Arabidopsis thaliana: one gene and its partners. The protein of the gene in region 3 interacts with the protein of the main gene of each other region in a biochemical or structural test. Each region holds a gene or a part of one and is shown on either strand. Other genes may lie near its edges. The genes, in order: AHP5, AHP3 and ARR3.

The links.
Region 1: the proteins of ARR3 (region 3) and AHP5 form a complex in vitro, tested with the Arabidopsis thaliana proteins (one study listed by BioGRID).
Region 2: the proteins of ARR3 (region 3) and AHP3 form a complex in vitro, tested with the Arabidopsis thaliana proteins (one study listed by BioGRID).

The regions. Positions count from the first base shown.
Region 1 is NC_003070.9:845,942-850,632, forward strand, and holds AHP5 (histidine-containing phosphotransfer factor 5), read left to right. Parts: upstream 1-1,851; 5' UTR 1,852-2,217; coding exon 2,218-2,286; intron 2,287-2,425; coding exon 2,426-2,556; intron 2,557-2,700; coding exon 2,701-2,772; intron 2,773-2,866; coding exon 2,867-2,938; intron 2,939-3,056; coding exon 3,057-3,129; coding exon of another isoform or gene 3,130-3,186; exon of another isoform or gene 3,187-3,237; coding exon 3,238-3,294; 3' UTR 3,295-3,680; downstream 3,681-4,691. Other genes in the region: 2A6 (2-oxoglutarate (2OG) and Fe(II)-dependent oxygenase superfamily protein), read right to left, coding at 11-633. UniProt on the Arabidopsis thaliana protein: Functions as a two-component phosphorelay mediator between cytokinin sensor histidine kinases and response regulators (B-type ARRs). Plays an important role in propagating cytokinin signal transduction through the multistep His-to-Asp phosphorelay.
Region 2 is NC_003076.8:15,746,998-15,751,692, reverse strand, and holds AHP3 (histidine-containing phosphotransmitter 3), read right to left. Parts: upstream 2,963-4,695; 5' UTR 2,900-2,962; coding exon 2,687-2,899; intron 2,198-2,686; coding exon 2,067-2,197; intron 1,986-2,066; coding exon 1,914-1,985; intron 1,822-1,913; coding exon 1,750-1,821; intron 1,651-1,749; coding exon 1,578-1,650; intron 1,499-1,577; coding exon 1,445-1,498; 3' UTR 802-1,444; downstream 1-801. Other genes in the region: AT5G39350 (Tetratricopeptide repeat (TPR)-like superfamily protein), read right to left, coding at 1-764; AT5G39330 (transmembrane protein, putative (DUF1163)), read right to left, coding at 4,686-4,695.
Region 3 is NC_003070.9:22,064,731-22,069,313, reverse strand, and holds ARR3 (response regulator 3), read left to right. Parts: upstream 1-2,080; 5' UTR 2,081-2,142; coding exon 2,143-2,593; intron 2,594-2,670; coding exon 2,671-2,747; intron 2,748-2,819; coding exon 2,820-2,897; intron 2,898-2,976; coding exon 2,977-3,047; intron 3,048-3,125; coding exon 3,126-3,420; 3' UTR 3,421-3,697; downstream 3,698-4,583. Other genes in the region: AT1G59950 (NAD(P)-linked oxidoreductase superfamily protein), read left to right, coding at 108-351, 469-648, 1,054-1,281. UniProt on the Arabidopsis thaliana protein: Functions as a response regulator involved in His-to-Asp phosphorelay signal transduction system. Phosphorylation of the Asp residue in the receiver domain activates the ability of the protein to promote the transcription of target genes.

The DNA of each region.
Region 1 (4,691 bases), about 21 Mb from region 3:
GAAACGTTACCCGCAAACCGCGGGCAAGTCCTGTAACTTGGGAGGATCGGGGGCCATGTAACAGGCGAGCGTATCTCTCCAATTTGCAGCCTTATTACAAGTGTGGAGATCGATGTTGCTGTAGTAAAGCACATCTCTAGTGTGATCCCTAGAGTAGAACCGTTTCTTCACTTCCGGGTCCTGCTCGTGAAACCTGCGAATCCCTTCTTTCATCCTCTCCATCACCTCCACCGAGATCCCATGATTCACCACCTGGAAGAATCCCCATCTCTCCGCAGCGTCTCCAATCTTCTCCACCACGCTCCGCCGCGATATCAAATCCATGCTTCCTCCTTTCAGATCCACCGTGGGGATCGTCAGCTGCTGCGAAGGTGGTGCTGTTTGTTTCAGGCTTGTTAGAGTATCCGGAGGTGTATGGAACATGGCTGGAATCTCTTTGATTCCCGAAGCCACAAGCCCTTTCACGCCGGTTTTTGTCTCGTCGAAAGCTTTTGCTTGACTTGAACGATCACTTGACTCCATCTTGCTTCTTCTTTCTTTTTTTTGCAATGCACAGATTTGCATAAGTGCTATTATTCCACATCTTAATGCACATCTTAATACAATTAAATAACAAAAGGAATCGTGACCCATATTAAGATAACAAATAAAGAAATGAATCGCCAAAAACAAGGTCCATTAGTTTATTTCAATTCCTATATTAAAATTTGGATTCTTAATTGGTCGTTTGTCTTTACAAGTAAGAATAGCATCCGGTTTGAACTTTTGTTAATTAACTACACACTTACCATATTAAATCTCATCGCCATTGTTGCTCGCCTAGCTCTCGAAACGCCACTAATTAGCAAAACAACATTTAAAGATATCTCGTTTGGAGGACTTTGGACAATCGTTCCGCTACTGTTCATTTTCTCTCTCTTTGAAGTTTTTTCCAGTTTTTACAGATCTAGTTTTTTCTGCCTCTGTTCTTCATCTTAGGTTATGAATTTGCAAGACAAAGCAGGAGTAAGGCAAGCTATCTTCTCCGGCATTGGAGTGGTGTGGTTTTTCCGGTAAGCGTGGCAGCGGTGGCCCTTTCTCGGTGGATGAGAGGCTTCTCTTCCGTTTCTTCCTGGTTATGGACGTCGGTGGAGATCGGTGAAGTCTTTCTTGGTTCAACCACTTGGTTAGACGCTGTAGCTGTGGCGGAAGACGCTGTGGATTGGTGGGTTTTCAGTGCGTGTTTGATGGTTAACAAACTGGATCTGAGATGGCTGTTGCGGGTTCCGGTTGCTGAAGGGTTGTCTGAGCCATCACCCTTCTTTAGCCTCCGTTTTTTGTCTCCATCAATCCGGATTGAAGGTTGCTTTGCTTTTGGAAAATTTTCAGATCTAAGGTTTTGGAGGTCAGAGGCTTGGAAATGCGTGGTCGTTTTGCGAGGTTGGGGACTCGACCAAATTGGGTGGCGGAGTGTCGGAAACTGGGTTTTTTCCGTTAGGTTTGTTGCAGGTCCGGCCAGCTCATTGGTAAGAGATTTGCGGCAGGACTCGTATACTTCGGCCAATGATCTCGTTCCGGTGGTTGTGTTGCAAAGTAGTGGGCCTTGTATACGACGGTACTAATAGATCTATTTGCTGCCTCCGTTCCACTGCCCAAATCCACCTCTGGTTCTCTTTTTCCGGTGACCGGATTTTTCCTGTTTTGTAACTGTGGACGATTGTAATTCCGGGCCTAAGCCCAATTGGGACTGGACCTTTTTTTTTAAAAAAAAAAAAAAAAGATATCTCGTTTGTGGAGAACGCATGCTAGCAACTTCCCTATCTATAAAATCAGATTTGCACCCCACAAACTAAAATATTATTTACGTACTTGATTAATTCCTACAATATAGTCATTTACAAAAATAACCCTCCATTTGATATTTAAGTCAAAATCAGTCAACGGAACGTGGAATAAATTATAACTTTCGACGCTCCGATCAGATTCATCATCATCTCTCTCTGTGTCGCTCCGATTTTGAATTTGGAATCTCTTAGTTAAGTTGGAAGTTTGTTCTTTGGTCTTTTCGCCTAGTTGTTGTTGGATCTGTTTTAAATTAAGCCAAAAACCTCCGATTAGATCGATCTCGGAACCGTCGAAATACAGTTCACCGTATCCGTTGTTTGTTTTTGGTATATGTATGTTTGAGAAGCTCTTACCATCTTTGTTTACAAGTCTGGTTCTTGGTAAACTTTAGCTATGAACACCATCGTCGTTGCTCAGTTGCAGAGACAATTTCAAGACTACATCGTTTCTCTTTATCAACAGGTTCGTTCCTAACCAAACTTTTCTTACTTTGGCTGGATTCTCACTTTTGGGCTTAGATAAGCTTAAGGTGCAGTTATGTGTGAATTTGAATTTTTTTATTTTTTTTATAAAGATGATATAATATGTTGTTGTTTTGAAGGGATTTCTGGATAATCAGTTCTCAGAGTTGAGAAAGTTGCAAGATGAAGGAACCCCTGATTTTGTAGCTGAAGTTGTCTCTCTATTCTTCGACGACTGTTCCAAGCTTATTAATACCATGTCTATATCCCTGTAAGCTTTGCTTACTCTCTTAGGCTTCTCTTTTTTATCTAACATGGGACTTTGTCTCTAATCCTCCTTCATATTCATTTTTGAGGGTGTAAATTAGCTTCATATATTCATGACAGCATTTTATGAGTTTATTATAAACATTAGGGAGCGGCCAGATAATGTGGATTTCAAACAGGTGGATTCAGGTGTTCATCAACTCAAGGGTAGTAGCTCCAGGTTTGTCACAGTGAACACTGCTAAATTTGCTTTTCTAGTTTTAAGTGACCAAACTACATTGATTTTAATGGCTCAGTCTCTGCTTTGTACTCAGTGTCGGTGCAAGGAGGGTGAAAAATGTGTGCATATCTTTCAAGGAATGTTGCGATGTTCAGAACCGTGAAGGGTGAGTATATTTTTTAGCTTGTTGATGCAAAATGTTATTGGATCTCTAAACTTTTTTATTATATGAGAAGCTATTCTTCTAATTCACACACAAATTGTGATAATGATATCTGGCACAGGTGTCTAAGGTGTTTACAGCAGGTGGATTATGAATATAAGATGTTAAAGACTAAACTTCAGGATCTCTTTAATGTGAGTTTTAAACTTTGCGAAAACCTACTTGTTCTGCTTGTGTATTCTTTTTACTGAGCCTTTTGCTACTTCTCATTCTTCTGTTTCTGTTATGTTATGTTGTTGCAGTTAGAGAAACAGATCCTCCAAGCTGGAGGTACAATTCCTCAAGTGGATATAAATTAGACCGATGCGTTTCTCGATTATGCAAATGTTCAAGGCTGATGACACAAATGAAACCGAAACTCCTCTGTAGTTTTGTTGTTGTTGTTATGTTTTATATTGATTAATGAGGTTCAGCAACACTGTCCCTGGCCAGATATCGTGTCTTGTTTAGACTCTTAATTGAGTTCTAAGAGTAAAAATTGAATTATTAGTCTATAAATAGACATGTCCATATGTATTCCTGTCACAATGCAACCACCATTTGGAGCCTTTGTTCTGACCATCATGACTTAGAATTCTCAGCATTATTCTGAATCTGATATACTCTATTGGATTCATGATTTTGATTTGAGCCGTAAAGCATGCGGGTACTAGTTAGCACTTTAGACGATTTCATTATGTGTGGATTAATCAAGAATGATTTGTTTGAATTATGGATAACACGATTCCATGGTCTCTTTATTTTGTTAACGGTATTCCATGGTCTCTTTTATCAACATTATTGTTATAGGGCTTATAAGACATGATTGTGACAATAGATTGAGAAAGGATTGGGCATGTCTTGTTAGGTATGTATTTAATATAATGTCCGAATTACCTCAAACTAGGAATGAAATAAAAAGAAAATGTCGAAGAATTATCAATAGATTGTTTATAAGTGGAATAAAAAATGTGAAGCCATGTGTCTATGGTAATCACTAGGTGGAGCATTTTTTTTTTTTTAAAGGAAGAGTATGTGAAGTGAAAGAGACTAATGAAACATAAATTGAAGGCATGGAGGCGTGTAATGTAACAAATAATAACAAAGCTTTTCTCCTCTATCCTTCATTTTATCATATCCATCTTCATCATTTTTATTTCTCTCAACCAATGTTTTTAAAATAATTTTGTAATATCCTTATAACATGGTTGGTTTTAGGGTTCTTCATGAAACCGATTCAAAAGTCAAAGCAAATCTTATATCGGTTACTATGTGATCTTACCTTCTATGGAGAGAGGATTCGACGACACACCAAACAAACACAAGAGTCCCAAAACGAGTGCGTTAATTGTCTCGTAGTGCGGACCATCTTAGGGTTTAGACCTTTTTAATTTTGTTCATTATGATTGGAACGTATTGCTTTGGCTTTCTTGCAAAGCCAAGTTTTCTTTTCATAAATCTAATTTGGTCTACTCATCACTACCTAGTCTCTCTTAGAATGAATACTAAATCATTTTTATTATGCATGGTTGGTATATGTGAATCAGTAGCGAATCATTATTTGAAACGTATTTAGATGTACGCTATGAGTTAATTATTTTCAGAAAACGGTAGTTACACTTATGAAACTAATTAATGCACATCAAAAGTAGAGACAATCTGCTAATATACGTACACAAGGCAAAAGATTGTACAGTAGAGGTATATATCGAGCTAT
Region 2 (4,695 bases), on a different chromosome or scaffold from region 3:
ACCTCAATTTTATCCCCTAACCGCTTCTCTTCCACCAACTTATGAACATTCCTCCCCATCTCCAAATCCTTCAAGTGACCACAAACAGGCAACATAGAAACAATCGTAGCATGGTCAAGATCAACACTTTCATTAACCATCCAATCAAACATCATTAACGCATCATTCATATAACCATTCCTATAATACCCACTAATCATCGTGTTCCACGAAATCACATCACGGTTCTTCATCACATCAAACACATCCCTCGCCATTTCAACCTTCCCAAAGTTCATATACATCGCTAACAACGCGTTCTGCACATACTTATCCCTACCAAACCAACTCCTCAAGATCCTCCCATGAACAACCAACCCCAATTTCATCGATTTCAATTCTCCAGCAGCTTTAGCAACAAAAGGGTATGTATAACCATCCGGAACACACTTAACCCCCTCACTAACCATCCTAATAAACACGCTAATCGCATCGTGATACAATCCTTCACGCACGTACATTCTAATAACAATGTTATAAGAAAGCAAAGAGCTTTGAGGCATTTCCTCGAACAGCTTCCGTGCATAAGTGATGTGACCACATAACGCATAAGTTACGGAGAGAGTCGAGAGAATGTGGCCGGAAACTCGACCGCCGGTGATGACGTGGCAGTGTAAAGCTTTGGTTTTTGAAATTGATTGAGTAGCTGCAAAGTGATTCAAGAGAGATTGGTATTGCTTGACGCTACTAAGTGCGTTGTTGGCTCTGCGCAAAACTTCACTCATTTAAAGAAAAAAACGACTGTTGAAAAATCTATTGGGTCGCAATTTTTTAAAAGCAACGACATATCTAACCAAACTGCGTGACGTTTGTATTTTACAGTGAGAAATGCTTGACGTTTTCTTATTTTACAGTAAGAACTGCGTGACGTTTGTATTTGACAGTGAGACTGCGTTGACGTTTTGTATTTCACAGTGAGAACTGCGTGACGTTTTCTTTCTTAACATTAGCTGATGGGTTTAACTTTAGGTTTCAGCTTTCACAGGGGACACTTGTGAGTGTTTGTTCTTGGTTTGTTCCTTTTGCCAATGTCTTCGTGAAGCTTTTTGCTTTCAGAGTCTATTCTTTTGCGCGTTGTCTTGTGTAGCTCTCCTTGAATTTTCTGCTTCTTATGATGCTTCTGTGTCTGGAAATATTCCTGTTTTTGAATACATAACTCACTCTTGTTCATATGGTCTTATGAGATGCAAATTCATACTATTCAGATAAGATCAGTACCAAGATTCAAGAGATGATGATACAAAAGATACATAGTATTGATCTATGAACAACAATCACCTCTCTTTTCCACACATTCTCAAGAGTTTTTTTTCTTTTTCGAAGCAACAAATTCGAGTAGTACTCGTCTGAAGAATGCAACTGGATGATCATCATCTTGCTGTTCTGTTGTCGATAGGTCTATTGTTTATATATCCACTTGAGGGATTCTACCACCAGCTTGGACAATCTGTTGCTCAAGCTGCAACAAAACAATGCAAGACTTATTCACGAAATTCGAAAGCAAAAAACCGACACAATTCACGTAGCTTTTCACTCACATTGAACAGATCTTGAAGCTTTGCTTTTAATGTCTTGTACTCAATATCCACTTGCTGCAAACATCTCACACACCTATAACAGAGATTGTTTCCCAAATTAGTTTCAACAATCAAATGAACATAGCAGAAATTTGAGATTCTCTTAAAGAAGAACCGGAAAACAAAAGCTTACCCTTCATAGTTCTGAGAGTCGCAACACTCCTTGAGGGTAACACAAAGACCTTTGACTCTCTTGGCACCAACACTTCATAGAACAACAAGAAAGGAGCTCTTCACTGAGACTAGATCCGAGATTAGACTAAAGGACCGAGACTATACAGATCAAATGTGACATACCTTGAGCTACTACCTTTGAGTTGATGAACACTAGAACCTACCAGTTTGAAATCTACATTTCCTGTCTGATCTCTGAGTATACATATGAACCAATCATTAAACCATATCTGCTAGCTTTTGATGATTAAACTCGTAAAAGAAAAGTAAACTTACAAAGCTCTAGCCATATTACTGATAAGCTTCTCACAGTCTTCAAAGAAGAGAGTAACAACCTCAGCCACAAAATCAGGACTACATTCATCTTGCAGCTTTTTCAATTCTGTGAATTGATCATCCAAAAACCCCTTTACAAAACCAACACAAAGAATCTCAGAAACCCATTTCACAAAATTCCCAATTCCAAATACAAGCTCCAAGTACCCTAAAAACAGTAGAGAGTAGTCATCCCTAAAAAGAAGACAACTTTGAAAAAGAGACAATAACCCATTTCACAGACCCTAAACCCAATTCCCAAAATCCCCAATTGCCATATACAAGCTTCAATAAGAACCCTAAAAACGTAACCACAAATTCAAAGTTTGCTTCACCAGAAAAGTAATCACTTTGAAAGGAGACGACTTTGAAAATGGAGACAATAACCCATTTCACAATCAGTAAACCTAACTCTTAAATCCCCAGTTTCCAATTTAAAAGCTTCAATAAGAACCCTAAAGACTGTGGAGAGCCATCTCTAAAAAGGAGACTTTAAAACTCAACCACAATTTCTAAGTTCTCTTCACAAGAAAGTTAATCACTTTTATCCTGAATCTCTAAGGAGAGATGCTAAAATTTACCTGGTGATAGAGACTAATGGTGAAATCACAAAATCGTCTCTGTAACTGAGCAATGAGTGTGTCCATGGCTCTCTCTACTCGTCGTGAAGGCAAAAGCAGAGAGAAGAAGAAGATGTAAAGTTTGTTTGAAATTGCAATCCCAATAAAGAGATTCTTACAGATCATCAAATTTGGACAGAAATAAATAAAGAAATAGTCACAAAGCTTTTCCATAAAGGGCAGAGAAAAAGAATTAGAATATGATTAGTTGTCAAAAAGACAACTTTTACAAGTGAGAAACATTGATTTAGGCCATAAAAAATGGAATCTCTAATTCATGATTGATACATTCATTCATTCACTCAAAGTTTTTAGCATTTTCCAATGTTAGGTATGTTTCTGTTATGTCAATCCACCAACACTAAGAATCTCTCACGCTGGAAGATTCTCTATAGACAAGTTCATTTGAAGCATTACCGTGTGGACAAGACTGAAGAACATTGGTTCTATTCTTTTGACATGAGCTTCAGAGAATCATATACTCTCATCAACTTGACCTCATGAAAACAACTTATAGTGGCAGATTTTGCTGTTTATGACAAACTAAAGGGTTTTTTGCACTAATATTAAGTTGTTTGGTAACATACTTATTAATATTATATCGTAGAGGCATTTAGAGTTCTTTCTTACCAAAATACTCTACCTTCTTTTTTTTTGCTATAACAGATTTTGATATTGGACTTGTTTTTTCGGCTGTTTAGATCTTTTTTTGTTTGAGTGAAATGTTTTATTTTTCAATTTGTTGGAAACAACTAATATGATCGCGAGTGTCATTTTGAGAGTTGCGGAGGCAGCGAGCTGGCTATATAGTAAGGTCAAAGGAGGTAAATCTGGCTTTATTCGGTAACACATCTAAGTTTAGACATCGAAAGCAAGAACTTTTGTTTAGAGGCATTCACATTTAAACTAGGAAACTTTGGGTGAGAAGTCCACACGTCTTGGCTATATATGAATTGCTAAGCTGAAGCAATATGAGGTGTTACATACCTCCTGCAAAATTAAGGTCTATATAATATAACTAGAGCCACCCCAAGCAAAATTAAACAATGGTTGTTAGCGCCAACAAATTTGTAAGGTTTATTTAGAAAATATTAGCATATATAAATGGTATAACTTATGGTGAAAGATTCATATATATGCTTAGGATAGTATATAATGATTAAGAAAACAAAGTGTAAAATTATAAGTGTTAAATCTTGGTGACCTGAGTTGAGTTGAGAATTGAGTTGTGAGATTAATACCAAAGAAAAAAGTGACCTGACTTGGATCTTAAAATCTTTCTCTTTTTTTGATGAGACGGATCTTAACATCTCTCTCGTTTATTGGTAAGGATCTTAACTACTCTCTTTAATTTAGTAAATATTAATTTAAAGAGATCTAAATGTCCCAAAATCTTAATAAAATTATAAAAAACTCCAAAAAAGAACATTCGGTCCGTGTGTAGCTATGTTCGGATTAAACGTTTTTAATAGGTAGGTATTGGATCACCCCATGCTTAGCAAATTTTTAAACACTAGATATATATATACAAATTTACTATCACAACACAAAAGATAAAGATCCACCTTTGGGAGGGCAGACCATGCACCACACCATTAATTAGAGATCTTGCATGCATATTGATCTCATAGATGCAACATTTGTGGAGAATGAAAATACCATCCCAAAAATTGAATATCATGGAGGAAAATAATTGCAACTTGTCCGTCAAGGATAAATGCCTCGTGTAGAAATCATCATAACACCACGTACAACTCCATGATATTGCTCTAGAACATATCTATTGTTCGTAAAGAGAGAGAATTAAGAATGTTCAACACTTAACATCTAGAAGAAATATATTCCATTAATTAATTTATAGGAATTTAATTTAGGTAAAGCAAGTCCATATCAAAACGCAAAAGAATTTAGAAAGTCCATCATTTGACAAACTAAAGAACAAACTATTGATGAAAAGTACTTAGCGAAGA
Region 3 (4,583 bases):
CCATGCGATCTCCTGTTGATAGCCTTCTATGGACTGCAAGCCAAGTACAAAAAGCGTATTTCGGGGTTGCATGATCTTAATCATCATTTTCATATCATGTTTTGTAGAACTCTTAAATTGGACTATCTCGATCTCTACCTAATCCACTGGCCGGTTAGCTCGAAACCTGGTAAATACAAGTTCCCTATAGAAGAAGATGACTTTTTGCCAATGGATTATGAAACAGTTTGGTCTGAGATGGAAGAGTGTCAGAGACTCGGAGTTGCAAAGTGTATAGGAGTAAGCAACTTCTCATGCAAGAAACTCCAACACATCCTTTCAATAGCAAAAATCCCACCTAGTGTCAATCAAGTATATTTAAAATTCTCTCTTATTTAATTTATCAAATAAGTTCAACCTTTTTTTTATAAGAAAATATTGGATTGGTGAAATAATTTGAAACATTTGTTTGTGGATAATGTGAAAAAGGTGGAGATGAGTCCAGTATGGCAACAGAGAAAACTGAGGGAGTTATGTAAGTCGAAAGGCATTGTTGTGACAGCTTATTCGGTGTTGGGATCGAGAGGAGCGTTTTGGGGAACTCACAAAATCATGGAGTCTGATGTTCTCAAAGAAATTGCTGAGGCAAAGGGAAAAACAGTAGCTCAGGTACTCTCCAAAGACAGTTTTAAAATTATTTACGAAAACATTTTTAAATTTCTTTTAACGTATAAATATTAAAAAAAACAGTCGTAATTTAAAGGAAAATTTTGTTAATTACAGAAAATATTTTAACAAATCGGTAAACAAAAGTCATTGTTATATTCATTTGAAAATTAGTTTTATTTTTATTGTGATAATGGCTAAAACTATCTTTATGCGATATTTAATTTTGGACTATTGACTTATTTATTTGTTTGATACATTTTTATATTGTGCACTCACTCTCGTTGACCCAAAAAAAAAAAAAAAAAAAACTCACTCTTTAAACGGGTAATAGAGTGATGTGGAGAAGTTTTGGGGAATGAAAGTATTTAAAGCTCATTTTTAGAGTTGTAATAGACAATTGACTAGGTGAGTATGAGATGGGCTTACGAGGAAGGAGTGAGCATGGTGGTGAAGAGCTTTAGGAAAGACAGATTGGAAGAGAATCTGAAGATATTTGATTGGTCTTTGACAGAGGAGGAGAAACAGAGAATCTCGACGGAGATTTCTCAGAGCAGGATCGTTGACGGAGAGGTTTACATCTCGGAGAAAGGTCCTATAAAATCTGTCACCGAGATGTGGGACGGTGAGATCTGATCACTATGTGTGAATTATGGGGCAGTTGTAATATAATGTCTTGATTATTTAGTTTGTAAAGTTGCATTAATTTGTTTTGTTAAGTTGCATTTCCAATGTATAACCTTCATAAATGTTGTAGTTGTAAAATAAATGTCTTGATTATTTAGTTTGTAAAGTTGCATTTCTAATTTATAACCTTGAGAAATGTTTCTTCTTATTTTTTTCTTTTGTGAATATGCAAGTCTTTTAAGAGCAATTTTGAGTTTGAAATGTTTCTCCTTTTCTTTTATCTTTTTTTTTTTTTTTTTAATATTTAAGCTTCTTTCAAAGCATGTTACATGGACCCCAAAATCTTTAAACATCTAAATTAATCACATAATGATATGTACAATATCTTGTGAAAAACCTCTGTTCATCATTGCGATAAAGTCTTTCTGAACGGGATTTCTGATAGAAAACGAAAGCTTGATTTTGGATTTTATGTTTCTTTCACTTTGTCTATAAACCTTTTTATTTACTTGTTATGGTTTTGGTCATCATATTTTATGATGGTCTAAGAGTTTGTATTTATAAGTGGAGACAAGACATAGCTATGCATTAGATTTTTCTTCAAATTAAGCTCAAGGGTCCATCAAAATAGAGAGAAGAAAATAAAAATCATTTTCTGAACATAGTAAATGTGTTTTTAACAACAACAACAACAACAACAAAAGCATAGTACATGTGAGAAACAAAAAGACGAATTTGAACATTAAATCAGTAACATACATACCAAACAACCCTTGTTATGGGTTTGGTTGGTAATCCAAGTATATCTATTTAGTACCAATCCTAAAAGTAAGAAGAAGCAAAACCGGTACTTTCTATCTATATCTTATCATGAACTTCGAATTTATCTTTCTTTACCTATTCAGATTAGTTCGCTATTTCTTGCTGCCCCCATCCCAAAAAAGAAAAAAAGGTACGTACCGTTTTGTGTCATTAATCGTCACTTGGAATAAGAAAATATTTTGTAAAAGAAATGAAGTAGAAAATGATCCACCTATAAAAAGATTTGATATAGAAGAGTATAACAACGAAAATATAAAACAAAGTAGAGAGGAACTAGTAGCAATATCTCTCTTCTATCTTTTCATTTCCTACTCTTTTCTCACTATGGCCAAAGACGGTGGCGTTTCTTGTCTACGAAGGTCGGAGATGATCGGTATAGGAATCGGAGAACTTGAATCTCCGCCGCTAGATTCTGATCAAGTCCACGTTCTCGCCGTTGATGACAGCCTAGTTGATCGAATAGTCATCGAAAGATTGCTTCGAATCACATCCTGCAAAGGTTTCTTAACTAGTAATTCTTCCTCTTTCCCCTTTAACATTTTAAAAGCCTTATTCTCCGGCGATGATTCAATGCAGTCACGGCGGTTGATAGCGGATGGCGTGCTCTCGAATTCTTAGGATTAGACGACGACAAAGCCGCCGTCGAATTCGATGTAATCTCTCATAACTCTGTTTTAAAACATTTTGAGATTCTAGATTCTGATCTTGATCTTTATTTTTACCAGAGATTGAAGGTGGATTTGATCATCACTGATTACTGTATGCCTGGAATGACTGGATACGAGCTTCTGAAAAAGATTAAGGTTTCTGAAATTTTCCCGCCATAAAAACAAATTCTGTTACTTTTTTTTTTTTTCAATTCTTGATTTTCTTAAAAAACAGGAATCGACAAGTTTTAAGGAAGTTCCTGTTGTAATTATGTCGTCGGAGAATGTAATGACTCGTATCGACAGGTCAAATCTCTCGCCGGAATCTTTTTTTTTTGATTCCGATTTTGGTGATCGGAAATTTAATCAATAAATCTGTTGTAGATGTCTTGAAGAAGGTGCGGAGGATTTTTTACTAAAACCGGTGAAACTCGCCGACGTGAAACGTCTGAGGAGTTACTTGACGAGAGACGTTAAAGTCGCCGCCGAAGGAAACAAACGGAAGCTGACCACTCCACCGCCGCCGCCTCCGCTCTCAGCCACATCCTCGATGGAATCTTCGGACTCTACGGTGGAATCGCCTCTGTCTATGGTTGACGATGAAGATTCGTTGACAATGTCGCCGGAGTCTGCAACTTCGCTTGTGGATTCGCCGATGAGGAGTCCCGGATTAGCTTAGAGAGATCCGTGTGATAACGATCTCCGTTAACTTTTTACTTTTGACGGTTTTATTGACTGCAACGTTGACTTGAACGCCGTCAGTTTATACTTATAGATCTCTCTCTCTCTTTTTATATCGTTGCACGTGGGGTCTCTTTGCTCACGAAGGAACTTTTATAAAAACAAGTATTGTATTTATTTAATTACGTATATTTGATAATTTTAAAATTAAATAATGTTTCTATTTCTAATAATATCATAATAATCAAATAATGTGTGACAGTTTACCTCTGTGTATTCATATCGTCTGCTAATCACTTTTGAGATTTTGCCAGCGATTAGCATTTATTTGATAGTATGATATCCAATAATGTACCGACTTGAGGATACTTTTCTTTAATCTATAGTCTTTGATATTAAGAACCAAATCTTGTATTATTATGATATATTTTTGAAAATGTACTCTCAAATATTCCGCATGGCTTCTATGAATATTTTCAACTACTTACTCTAGCTACCACTAATTTTTGTGTGATAACTGTCTATTAGAGAAGACTACACAAAATAGTAATAAAATCATTTGCAAACTACACATACTATTGAAACTCGGCTTGTAATATTTACACCTATAATAACTAACAACTTATGTTGAACATGTTGGTGGTCTTTTTAATTTTAATCATTGAATAGGTAGTGGCTAAGTTGGTGACTACGACCACATATTTCACAATCACATGTCGCTAAACCATGACCATGTGGTCACGCATGCATGGCTACGAATTAGAAATGAAAACGGTTGAATAACCATGGTATTATGGGGATTAATTATGATTCATATGAATCATATCTAACTCAAGGTTATGTGGTCATGCATGGCTACAAATTAGAAGAAATAAAATGTTGTCCAAATACATGTAATCATGGGGATTATGGATTCATATCTAATCTTAGGAGGTCTACTAAAAACATTAAGTATACATTTTAGCTCCTAATCACTCACAAACTCATATCTTTGATTCACACCACGACCACAATATCTATTTAAAAAGAGGATGCATATAATATTTTGAACTTTCTTCAGAATGAAGGATCAAATCGAATAATATAATAACGTACGGCATTATTATATTAGCAAGACCCTTACATTACCCATTGGAACTTAGAAGGAGGCACTGGATATTA